3 linked regions of the Canis lupus familiaris genome follow. Each later gene encodes a partner of the first gene's protein in a complex. Links are inferred from orthologs where the notes say so. Each region holds a gene or a part of one and is shown on either strand. Other genes may lie near its edges.

The links.
Region 2: the proteins of UBE2E2 (region 1) and RLIM are in contact, whole or in part, in a crystal structure (PDB 6W9A), measured with the Homo sapiens proteins. The link is inferred for Canis lupus familiaris from reciprocal best matches to the Homo sapiens genes UBE2E2 and RLIM. Residues at the interface, in NP_001357154.1 of Homo sapiens: Lys52, Thr55, Lys58, Arg59, Lys62, Pro112, Asp113, Pro115, Phe116, Ile142, Asn146, Trp147, Ser148, Pro149, Ala150, Leu151, Thr152; in NP_057204.2 of Homo sapiens: Ser571, Val572, Cys573, Ile574, Thr575, Cys596, Arg599, Trp600, Pro608, Ile609, Arg611.
Region 3: the proteins of UBE2E2 (region 1) and DET1 are in contact, whole or in part, in a cryo-EM structure (PDB 9BJZ), measured with the Homo sapiens proteins. The link is inferred for Canis lupus familiaris from reciprocal best matches to the Homo sapiens genes UBE2E2 and DET1. Residues at the interface, in NP_001357154.1 of Homo sapiens: Ala77, Gly78, Pro79, Lys80, Gly81, Arg88, Ser89, Thr90, Gly101, Val103, Phe105, Phe123, Arg124, Thr125, Arg126, Ser134, Gln135, Gly136, Gln194, Trp195, Arg198, Tyr199, Ala200, Thr201; in NP_001137546.1 of Homo sapiens: Arg258, Phe259, Tyr261, Asp264, Thr267, Val268, Phe272, Glu274, Asp289, Pro290, Phe291, Ile292, His297, Arg298, Leu300, Val301, Trp304, Arg305, Phe319, Phe320, Gln321, Phe323, Asp324, Arg327.

Annotation. Positions count from the first base shown.
Region 1 is NC_049244.1:20,995,011-20,999,365, forward strand, and holds the start of UBE2E2 (ubiquitin-conjugating enzyme E2 E2), read right to left. Parts: upstream 2,855-4,355; 5' UTR 2,752-2,854; intron 1-2,751.
Region 2 is NC_049260.1:58,047,688-58,051,860, reverse strand, and holds the start of RLIM (E3 ubiquitin-protein ligase RLIM), read left to right. Parts: upstream 1-1,347; 5' UTR 1,348-1,563; intron 1,564-3,345; exon of another isoform or gene 3,346-3,409; intron 3,410-3,843; exon of another isoform or gene 3,844-3,913; intron 3,914-4,173. UniProt on the Homo sapiens protein: E3 ubiquitin-protein ligase.
Region 3 is NC_049224.1:52,246,093-52,249,647, reverse strand, and holds part of DET1 (DET1 homolog), read left to right. Parts: intron 1-2,716; coding exon 2,717-2,904; intron 2,905-3,555. UniProt on the Homo sapiens protein: Component of the E3 ubiquitin ligase DCX DET1-COP1 complex, which is required for ubiquitination and subsequent degradation of target proteins. The complex is involved in JUN ubiquitination and degradation.

The sequences.
Region 1 (4,355 bases):
GATGCAATATGTACCTCTTTCTTACTTGCATAAAAAAACCCCAACGCATGGGGGTGGCTTGGGTGGCTCGGTCTAATTTCAACTCAGGACCTGATCTCAGGGTCCTGGGATGGAGCCCACATCAGGCTCTACACTCAGCAGGGAGTCTGCTTGTCTTTCTCCCTTTGCTTCTCCCACTGCTCATGTTCTCTTTCTCAAATAAATAAATAAAATCTTAAAAAAACACAAAACCCCAAACTCTTTGTAACAACCTCCTATTTGGTTTGTCACACATTGGTATCACACTACCATGTGATAGTGTTGCCAATTTTAAAGTGTCTTAAATATTTGTGTCTATTTATCAGAGATTTTCAGAGGTTTTTGAACTATTTTTATGAACCCTGGGATACTTACAGGAATGTATAGTGTTTCTATTCATTTCTCACATATATGGAGTTAGTTTATTTATTTTTGGCCAGTTAGCCCTGCTTTACTTGTTTGGCAATTCTTCGTGAATTTAAATTTCATCTCCAGCTCTGAGTTTTCCAGAAGCAAACTCAAAAAAAAAAAAAAAAAAAAAAAAAAGGGTGCTTCCTTCCTTTAGTTTATATACTGACAAATTTTGTCAATGCAGTGCAGTTTTACAATTTAAGAAATTATAATTTTGGAGAGCTATTCCTCCATTTTCTCTGTTATTTTGTTTTTTCACATGCAAAGCTCATTTTCCCCTAAGGATTCCAACTTATTTAGATGAATTTTCACCATTTTGATAGGATATTTCTTTTTTATACAATAGCCTTAATAAAGAAATAACAAATTTTTGATTGGATATGCCTGAAAACAACATTAGGCTTTTTTATGTTATTTTAGCATTGGAATGTGAAAGAAAGTGGTAAGAAATACTTGTCTGTACAATGGCTCATTGATTAAGTATTTTGATACTGATAAGCATTGTTGACCCTGTTATTCCAAGGACACTATTTTAGTCTGTTTGGGCTGCTTTAACAGAACGCAACACACCAGGTGGCTTATAAACAATAGAAATTTATTTCTCATAGTTCTGGATACTTGGAAGTTTAAGGTCAAGGTGCTAGCAGATTTGGTGCCTGTTGAGAATGTACTTCCTAGTTCATAAACAATTACCTTCTTGTCATGTTCTCATATGGTGAAAGGGACAAGGGAACTCTCTGGATTCTTTTATATAAGGTCTCCATCCTCATGATCCAGTCAATTCCCAGAGGCCCTGCCTTCTAATACCATCACATTGGGTGTTAGGTACTTTACATATGAATTTTGGGGGACAAACATCCAATCTATAGTATATACTAATATTGACTTTATGTAGTGTTACTAATTTTGTTTAAGCAATCCTTTGGCACATTTGCCATCACTAAATTATTGTAGCAGTTTTAAACTTAAAAAAATTGAATTTTCTCCATATTTGACATACTTTATCTCATAATTATCAACTATAGTAGGAATTATTGCGTCCATTTTACAGGCGAGAAAACTAAGGCTCAGAGAAGTTAGTAACTTTTCAAAGGTCTCTGACCCAAGTCAAGATTTAGTGCAAGAATGAGATTGAGTTCATTTGAATTTACTCTTTCAAATCTCTTTAAAAAAGCATAACAATCATGTTCATTTTGACAGGTTTTCATGATAGTAATTTTTAATGGTTTCATTTAGAAAGACTGTATGTAGTTGTTACCTAGACAATTATAGGCTTCTTCAGAGGGCCTAATGTAGCAGATGCTCCCAGTGTCTCATTCTTATCCCCTTGGCGCTTATTATGTCCAGGCACACAGCTAACCTCCCATTACTAGCACATGTATGTCTTTATAGGCAACAGGTACTGGGAATTCATGCCCTCCCCCTCCCTTGACGTGTTCATTATTGTCTTCTATATGCCAAATGTATATGTGTACCTTCCCTCCCACCCCAAAATCCATATGTTGAAACTCAATGCCCAATGTAATGGTATTAGGAGGTGGGACTTTTGGAAGGCGCTTAGATCATGAGAGTGAAGTCCTCTATAAAAGACACCCCATAGAGCTCCTTCTGTGATGTGAAGAATAGCTAGAAGGCACTATCTAGGAACCTGAAAAAGTGCTCTCACCAGACTGAATTTGCCTGGGTCTTGATCTTGGACTAGTCTCCAGAACTATGAGGAATATATTTGTTGTTTATGAGCCACCCAGTTTATGGTATTTTATTACAGCAGCCCGAACAGAATATGCCATTCACTTTCTTCTCTTTCCTGTTTTACTTCCCTTCTCCATTAGTGGTATTTTTTTTTTTTTGGATCACCTCCGAATGAACTACTTTCCCTTGAATCTTTATTTCAAAATATGTTTCTGGGATAACTCAAACTAAGACACCACCTTACCTATTTGTTATGGATATTGGAAGTAAACCTAGTAAACCTTATGGCCTGGAGCATCCAATCTCAGGTTGGGGCCCTCTCATTCTGGAATTTACAAAGATGGCTTCTCATTTGCCTGGCCAGTTGTCTGTTCCTTGCTTTTGCCTCCTTATCTATATTTTATTTGACTGCAGACTAGAATTCCCAGTTCCCTGCTCTGACTCTTTCCTTCCTTTTTTAAAAAATTTTTGATTTTTGGCAATGCATTTGGGGCTGACTCTCTGGTTAGTCACCTTATCTACCTAATCTCTTGACACTGAGCATTACTTCCATATATTAGTTATCTATTGTTGCATAACAAATTACTACAAATCTTAGTAGCTTATGATAATAAACATTTGTTATCTTACAGTTTCTGCAGGTCAGGAATCTGGGTGCAGCTTAGCTGAGTGCCTCTGGCTTAAGTTGACAGTTAAACTGTCAGCTAGAAGTGTGGTCTCATATGAAGGTTTGATTGAGGGAGATCTGCTTCCAAATTCACTCATGTAGTTGTTGAAAAGCTTTGGTTCCTGGCCATACAGTTCTTTCCACAGGACTGCCTCATGACATGTGTATTAGTCTACTTGGGCTGCCATAACAAAATACTGCAGCCCGGGTAGCTTAAATGCCAGACGCTTATTTTCTCACAGTTATGAAGGCTAGACGTCCATAGTCAAGGTCTTGACAATTTTAGCTTCTGGTGAGAGTGCTCTTCCTGGCTTTTAGACAGTGGCCTTCTCACCATGTCCTTACATGGCCTTATTCTGTGCATGTATGGAGAGAGAGATTTCTGATGTCTCATCTTCTTTTTATAAGGACACCAGCCTTTATGTCCTCATTTGACCTTAATTACTTCTCTAGAGGTCCCATCTCCAAATACCATCACATTAAGGGTTAGGACTTCAACATACAGACTTTGGGAGAGACACATTTCAGTGTGTGACACAAGGTACAGGAGACAGTGAGAGAGCAAGTGAGAAAAGCATCCATAATGGAAGCCATAGCCTTTTCTAATCTCATCTTGAAGGTGACATCCCATCACTTCTGCTGTGTTCTATGTGGTAGAAGTGAGTGCATAAGTTTAACCCACGCTCAAGAAGAGAAATTTAAACAAAGGTGTGAATTTAGTAGGTGAAAATCATTAGGAGTATACAGGAGAAACTCTCTTGCTTTACTCACACACATAATACTTATGACACTACATACATGGGTCTTGTTTCCCCCACACACCAAGGCAATTCTCTGTGACATCAGCTGGATGTCCTACACTTTAATTCAATTTAATTCTGACTTGCTAGAGTTAGTGCAGATCCCGTACGTTAAGGGCTAAATCCACAAGACTGCTCTCAACTTCAAATACCAATAGTGAGTAGTAAGTTCCCAGGTTACCCACAACTTCTGTATGATTTGGTTACAAAAGAAGTTCCCACAGCCCCCTCCTTGGAGTTGATCATTTGCCAGAATAGCTCACAGAACTCAGGGAAACAATTACATTTACCAGTTTATTATATAATGAAGGATATGATAAAGGATACCTATGAACAGTCAGATGAAGAGATACATGGGGTGAGGTGTGGAAAGATTCTGAGTGCAGGAGCTTTTGTCTTTGTGGAGTTGGGATGTGTCACCCTTTCCAGGAGATAGATATGTAGGTAGAACTTCCAGCCAGGAAGTTCTCTGAACCCCCCCTTCAGGGATTTTAATGGAGCCTTCATCATGTAGGCAAGATCAATGATAAACTCCATTTCCAGTGTCCTTTCCTCTCCAGAGAATGGACAATGTGAGTATAGTAGATATGCGGTGTACCTCCATGGTAGGCTGCAATACCCCTATCTCAGTAGGTTGCTGTGAGAATTAAATAAGGTTATACACATATAGCACCCCAAATTTTATAATTTCTGAGAGCAAGCATTCATGAGGGATTTTACTAGTGACTAACAGGTTTGATTCCTGGAGAGAAGCATTCATGAGACAA
Region 2 (4,173 bases), on another chromosome or scaffold:
TTCAGATTAAGTACTTTAAATTAAATTAAGCAGTTAAGGGGATGGGGAAGTTGTTATTTTAGCGTCGTTAGGGAAGACTCCTCTGGGGAGAGGAGTCATTGAGAAGATGCTTAGTTGATGAGAGCAAAGATATGAAATGAAAATATTGTAGCCTAGGGCAGCCCGGGTGGCTCAGCGGTTTAGCGCCGCCTTCAGCCCAGGGCGTGATCCTGGAGACCCAGGATGGAGTCCCATTTCGGGCTCACTGCACCGAGCCTGCTTCGACCTCTGCCTGTGTCTCTGCCTCTCTCTCCGTGTGTCTCTCATGAATAAATAAAGTCTTAAAAAAAAGAAAATATTCTAGCCTATATATAGTTATAGAGGTGGGAACAAGTTTGGTTTGTTGGAAGAATATTGAGAAAACGTGTAGTGGCAGTGTTATCTGGAAACAGAAAACAAAAAAATGTAAAAAGAAACACAGAAACACCCTAAAAACTTGGACAAGATTGTTTTTTTAAGTTAACTGTGAAAACAGGAATTGGATGCTGTGTGGTCGGTTCCCTAACTTCCTTCAGGCATTAATACCATCTAAGAAAGGCCTTCCTTAACTGTCTTTTTACAAATTCCAACGTTATCAGATTTTCCCATCCTGTTACAATCATCGCCCCTTTTCAAGCATTTCAGAAAATTACCATCTCAGAGAGGCCATCTCTAACCACTCTTTAAAATTGCAATTCCCATTTACCCCCACCCAGCACTCTCCCACCCCACCCCCTTTCCGAATCTTTTTTCTCCCCAGCATTTATCACCGATAGATATAGATATATAGTAATTATTGTCCCTCCCCCAAGTACTAGGAACCATGAGAAAGTAGAATATAAAGAACCGTAAGAACTGGGATTTTGGTCCGTTTTAATTTCCGTTGTATTCCCAACATCTACTACAATGCTTGACATACAGTTGGCACTCGATAAATATATGTTGAATAAAAGGTAAGACGCTGTTCAACTTAGTCTGGACCAATTGTGTGAATTGACGCCAGGTTGGACTAGTATCGCATTTCTCGCTCTCTGAAAAGGGCTTCAAGCAGTCAAGTGGTGACGTTCTTCAGTTTTCAAAAACGGGAGAGCTAAGGTTCCCACAGTTCTCAGAACGCGAATTTCTCGCCACAATTCAAAATGGCGGAGGAGGGTGGGGCCTGTCACATGGTGGGCGTCACAGCAGCTCTCCTTTTCCAGACTGCTGGCCCGCCTTGCCGCGTCGTCTGCTGCCCCCTTCTTCCTCCCGCCGAGCCTTTTCGAGGAATCGCCTGGGATTGGCTAATAGGCTGGGAGTGGGGCTGCAGGGCCGGGACGCGGCATCATCACTTCCTGTTGTGGGCTGTCGTTTCCTGTCGCTGCTTGGTAACAATGGGGAAGATAATGGCTGCCTGAGCAACGTCTCGGAGCAGGCGCTAGGCTAGAGGCGGGTCTCAACCAGCGACTCATCGGAGGCGGGCTTGAGAGCAGCGGCAGGGGAGGCGCGCAGGATCCTCAGCGGCGGCAGCAGCCAAACCGACGGAGTCGGACCCGACACTAAAACCGAGTAAGTGAAGCCTTGGGAAATCCTCTTGAGAAATGGATGGAGAGCGAGGGAAAGACAGCGGAGCTGCAGCTGCCGTGTTCTCTCAAAATGGCCTGAGTCCCGCGTTGTGGCGGACGCTCAGCACCGCCTCCGGACCCCAGGCGCTGATTGCTGCGGGGGGCTCCGTGGCGTAGTCGCCGCTGCCATTTTAGTCACAGTCTCTTGAAGAAGGGGAAGGAGGTGGGTAGTACTTCCTCTCCGTGGCGGTGCGAGCCAAAGCCGGGGGCCCTCCACAGTCTGGAGAAATTGGGGGAGGCGATTTTTGAGTGTTGGCCTCAGGCGTGAGAATCTTTGATAGTCTTAAATTTTTCTCTTTGGTTATCTGGAGGCGTCCCTCGCCTTCCCATCCCCCCTTTTATATGGCGGGCTTGGGTTTGGGAAAAGGGGGAAATATCAGTCTGCTCTAAGTCAGCTGCTGGGAACTCTTGGGCCTTAGATTTCCCAGGATTTGCAAAACCCCATTTTGAGCCCTTTTGCTGGGTACTATCAATTAGGCGCCCCCTGGGGCCACGATGACATCTTCCCTGAGGATCCGGGGCAACTGTGGTTTTGCTCCCTTACTCAATAACCCTGGCATAGCCCTTGCCAGATATCACTGCAAGGATCCCCTGAAAAGGCAGGGAAAAGCCATTGCGTGTTGTTTTTTCCCTGGGTAAGGGTGGGAATTGGGCCAAATGATTTTCAACTTAATTTCCGTTCAATCCGGCAACAACCCAACCCCTCCCCCCTCAAAGAGAAAAGCCTAAGGGTCTCGGCTTTTGCGGGCGGTACCTGCCACGTACGCCATAGCTTTAGTAACTAGTATTAACCGGTTGGGCTTCTGCTTCCTGAATACTCAGTCCCTTTTTCCCTTATGCTGATTAATTTCAAGATGGAGGAGACAGCCACGTTCCTTCCCTAGACAGTTTCCCCATACTTATTCCACAGGTTACTCTGGGAATCTGAGGCCTAGCAGTCTTGTTATTTAGGTCATTCTTTTTGTTTGGGGGCAAGAGGAAGCATTTATATCAGGTTGTCATCCACCATTTGCGAGGTCCCACATTAATTTTTTGGTGCAAATAAAGAGCCCGCATTTCCTCAATCAGAATTAACCGCAGTCGCTTTGGATGATTGAAGGGAGGAAGAAATAAATGTACTATAGTCGTTTCTACTACTAGAAACATGTATTTGATTCTTCCTCATTAAAGACAAAATTACTCATATCACCCTATCAGGTACGTTATGTCCATCCTGAATGACTTGCGACCAGGCAGGCACAATTAGAGCCCTCCAAAAATCAGTTTTCTAGATTATAAAAATAAAGTACCCAGGAAGACCAATCCAGATGCTTTTTAAAGTATGATTTAGGAAACTGTTGCACTGAAAAATGTTTCATTCTTTAGCCTAAGTATCTTGATGATCTTTCATACTTTAGTTTCTCCATAGACTACTGTAATGTGCCAAGTAAGTCCTTGAAAGTATCAGAATCTGAAAATATTACTGGTTTGAAAAAGAAAGGCCTATTTTAAGCAAGCTTATATTAAAAGGTAGATTGGCTTTCAGCCTTTAAAGAAAATCTGATATCTAACACAAGATTCCTGGTTTCCTCTGACCTTCTCCATCTTCCCAAATATCCTAATTAGGTTGGGTTATGGGGTGTGTAACTTAAGATATATAGGATGTGTTTTTTTGAGGATGTGTCTATTTCATAGAAAATGTGTATCTTATGAAAGAGGAAGAATAATGGATTCTTTTTTTTTCTAGAGCAGAGAGTGAAGAAAACTAAAATCCAGTTTATTGTATTACAATACTATGTCATAACAGTCAGGTAATTTATTTTTTGTTGCGTCTCCTGATGATTTATGTGTAGAATGCATGTTTAAAAATATTTATTTTGTATTGCAGGCCCTGTAATTGGATGGGCTTATTTGATATATGTTTATTGGTGTTGGGCATTTTTCATAATGAGAATGGGTATTTTTCATTGGGAATTCAAAGGGTAGTGTGTCTGAATAACTGAAACTCTGCTAGTGTTTATCTGTGAATTTTCCTCTTTTAAAATAATGTCTGAAGTTTACCAGTACCCATATAAAACAGAAAGAACAAAATAGAAATTTGCTGCTTTAAATCATTGTTGGTGGGATGGGTCTAAATAAATAGCGTTTAAATGTTCATTGAATAACTAAATGAAATATCAGTAGAATATCTTGCAGGAATGTAATCTTACATTATTTTGTGTGGTGTTCATTTTTTTCCTTTAAGATCCAAAATGTCATAATTAATATATAATACTCTGATATTAACTCCTTTCATCATCATCATCATTGTTAAGGTAAGCACATAATTTATTGCCTTAACCAGGATGCTTTTTTTATGCCAACAGGTGCAAACCTGTATTGTGCCAAGCAAACGGGGATGGAGTTAGCCTAAATTCATAACTAACTTGAATGCTTATGTGCTGTGTCCTGTGCTTCACATGCATGACTTTATAATCTTCACAGCAAAGCCTTGTGAGGATATTAGCTGTTTTACCTAGTTAACTGAGACTCAAGGAAGTTAAACATTTTGTCCTCAATTAAATAGCTAATAAGT
Region 3 (3,555 bases), on another chromosome or scaffold:
AGCCAGCCTCTCAGAAATGTGCATTTTATGTATTCTTGAGTTTTTGTTATCCTTGGCCTCAGACTTAAAACAGTTCCATTTTTCTCTGGCCACATGTATTTATTTGGATGAATGGAAGCTCAGTCTCAAGCCATTGATATGTGGGTAGTCAACTCTGTGATCATTATCCTAATACTTGACCAGAGCATTTTCAGTATCCTTGAGATAGAAGCCCAAGTGCTACAAGGTCAAAATTTGGACTACCTGTGGATAACCCTGCCCTGATTTTCTGAGACTGTGGCTTTTTGGTCTGACCTCTTTAGTTCTAGGAATGAGAATGAGCCCACCATGCCACAAAAATTTTCTAAAAATTTGGTCTCTCTTTCCTGCTTAAATGGATAATGTCAGTGCATGTCTTCATAAAACCTTTGGGAGGTAACTAATAGGTAAGTTCATCTAACAGTTGAGTGTTATGACTTTATCCTGACCATACCCATGTGCTGGACCATAGGTTGGAGAGCAGTGAAAAAATTAAAAGGAAGCCAAGACTTATGATCTCTCAAGTGAATCATCACGACCAAAGGTCCTAGGGTTTTTCAGTGTGGATGAAAGATCTTGGAGGGGAGAGAGCTATTTCTTAAATGGGAACCTAGGGGTGTTAAGGGCACAGAAACCTCCCAGGACTCTTGGGTTGAAATACCATGTTGAAATTCAGGCTACTTTTGGGCATTTTTCTTTGAGAAACTCTCTACTTTAGTGTTGATGGAGTAAGAGACCTACCTTTCTGTACCTTTGCCACCTATTCTCCCATTTGCAGAATGTCTCCTTAGGTGTGAATTTGGGAAATCACAATAGAGAGCAAACCAGTCAGCTACAAAGAGGGCTGAGTGTTGTATCTCCCACTGACTTGCAGTTGGTTCTATTGCAAGAGACTGTACAGGCCATTGTTTCCTAAGACCTTACCAGTCATCCATGGTAAAATGTTTTCCAGTACTTTTCTTTGGAATCATAGCTTGTATATTCTAAACAAAGGTGGGTGGCAGGGAGTAATATGGTTGGAGATAGTTTTTCTGGATTCTTTTCTTCCCTGTTAATGATGAAGTCACCCATTGAGCCATCACAGATGAGCATCTAGTTCACGTTACGTTTCATAGGAGATTGTCAGTGACACTCTTGGCTCCTTTCACCTTCTGTCCTGTATTTCCCAGTCTGTCCTGGAGGGAAGGCTAGTAAAGTTTGTGTAATTTTATATTCACATAATTGTGATGGATCCTGGTGGAGCCCTGATAATGATCAAAGTGTTGTCCAGGTCTATAGAAAGGACATGAGTCAATCTTTTATTTAGGTTTGAGCTATAATTACCTTTTTCTTTTGGAGGGCATAAGTTATCTGCGATAGCCGCGTTTGAGATTATCCTCCTTCCCTTTGCTAAAACATGACCTACTTATTTCTGGTAGTTATAATGAATTGTGGCTGGAATCAGTACTAGAGCTCAGTGTTTTGCTTACAGAGTTTGTAACCTTAAACCCAGTTTGCCCTAGTTGTCCTCCCACCCCTTTCCCCGTTTTAATTTGAGAGGTTCCAATAAGGTTAATGAGTAAAAAGTGCACCTACATACAAAGCCTTGCTGATATTATGGGTATTATTCTCAGGTTACTCTCCAGCCTCCTTAATTTACAGCCATATTTAATTTCCAGGTGACTGTAAAAGTCATGTAATGAAAGCTCTGGGAAGGACTAATGACTAATAAAACAGGTGGGCACTGTGGCTCTAGGAATTGATGACAGAGACTTAAACTCAGTCATAGGAGGGGGAGTACTAACCTTAATGTTCTGGAAACTTCTAGATCAAGCTTGCCGATTGATTCACACTACCACATTCATTGTGACAAAAACCAGGGGTTCCTGGGGCTTCCTTGTTAGGTAGAGCAGAGCACTGGTTGTTTAGAGGGCTAGTCACCCAGGGCCCATTCAGAGAAAGTAGAAAACTCTGCCACCTATGGCATTTGAATGCTTTTCAGGTTCCCCCTCTGATCTTAATTGCTACAAATCTCAAATGTATCGTCCAAATGCTCTTGGCTGAAAGAACATTTATGAAGAAAGAAATGGAAAATGCCTCCCTGATTTTTCATTTGTTCAGCAGCAGTTCCCTGCTTGGTTACAACTTGCCTGGGCAGTTTTAGGACACAGTGTACTTCAGGTTTCTCTCTGCATGTTAGAAATCTTAAGAAGGAAAATAAATGTCCCTAAATTGAACTTTCAACTGTACATATACAAGAGAAAATAATTTGCCAACAGGCAGCTACAGGCTACCAATCACTTTCTCAGCAGGAAGGAAAATTAAATCTGGCATTTTAAAAAAGTGCTTTTTATTTCAGGCTGGGTTGGGTAGCAAGGAGGGGGAATAAAGAGTAGGAAGGAAAAATATTGAATTTGCAGAGTCAGAAATGCAAGATTGGAAACCTTTCTACACATGTATGTGGGCCAGTTCAGTAATTCTAGCAGCACAGATACGGTGGTAAATCCAGCAGTTCTGACCATAACTGATGGCCCTTGGCTGATAAAGTTTACTGAGGCTTCCTCCTCTCCCAGAACCACCTGGAGCCACATTTTTATGCTAGTGCAGGAGAAGTGTTTGCTTGTTTTACTTGAGTACTTTGAATTTTCAACCAAGTGGTAGGTTTCCAAGGCATGGCTGTATACCCAGCTGTCTCATAGCTGTCTCTGTTCTTCTGCAGGCATCTTTCTTTGTGGTGTACAATATGGTGACAACAGAGGTGATTGCCGTGTTTGAGAATACATCAGATGAGCTTCTAGAGCTCTTTGAGAACTTCTGTGACCTCTTCCGTAATGCAACCCTACACAGTGAAGTCCAGTTTCCCTGCTCAGCTTCCAGCAACAATTTTGCAAGGCAGATCCAGCGCCGGTAAGCTCTTCCACCAGGCTTAACAGGCTTAATTTTTCTTTAGACAATTCACTGGTGTTAGGCCAGTAGTAATGTCCTCCAAAAAACCCTTCCGATATTCTCTCTGCTACCTCGCTTTGGTTAGGTCTGCCTGTTGTAATCCCTTGGGTCATCCTGAACTTCTGTCTCTCAGCACCTATGGAATTAGTTGTGCGTTATCTGTGATTCCTCCTAGAGGAAGGAGAGCAGTGTGAGAGCTGCCTAAGAGATGCAGAAAGGTAGAGACTATATCTTTATTATTTATTCTTATAGTCTCATGATGCACTGTCAAGCATTTAAGCATTTTTTCAGTGAATGACTAAGGAAATAATTTTAGAACTTTTGGTTAAACATGATGTGTTGAGCACATGTGTTTATCTCTGCTCCATCCCCAAACCCCACTAAAATGACAATAAAGCAGTAAGAGGTATACATTTAACAAGAGCAAAGAGAATGGGAGAGGAGAGACATTGAAGACGGGAGATGATTGGCAACAGGAGAGGGATCTGAATCAGTGTCGGGAGCTGATAAGCTAATTGATCAGCGGTAACCTATGACTTGGCACACTCCAGAGAACAAAAACTTAAGACTGCAGAATTTAGCCATCAAGAAACAGGTTGCCTTGCTCCAGAG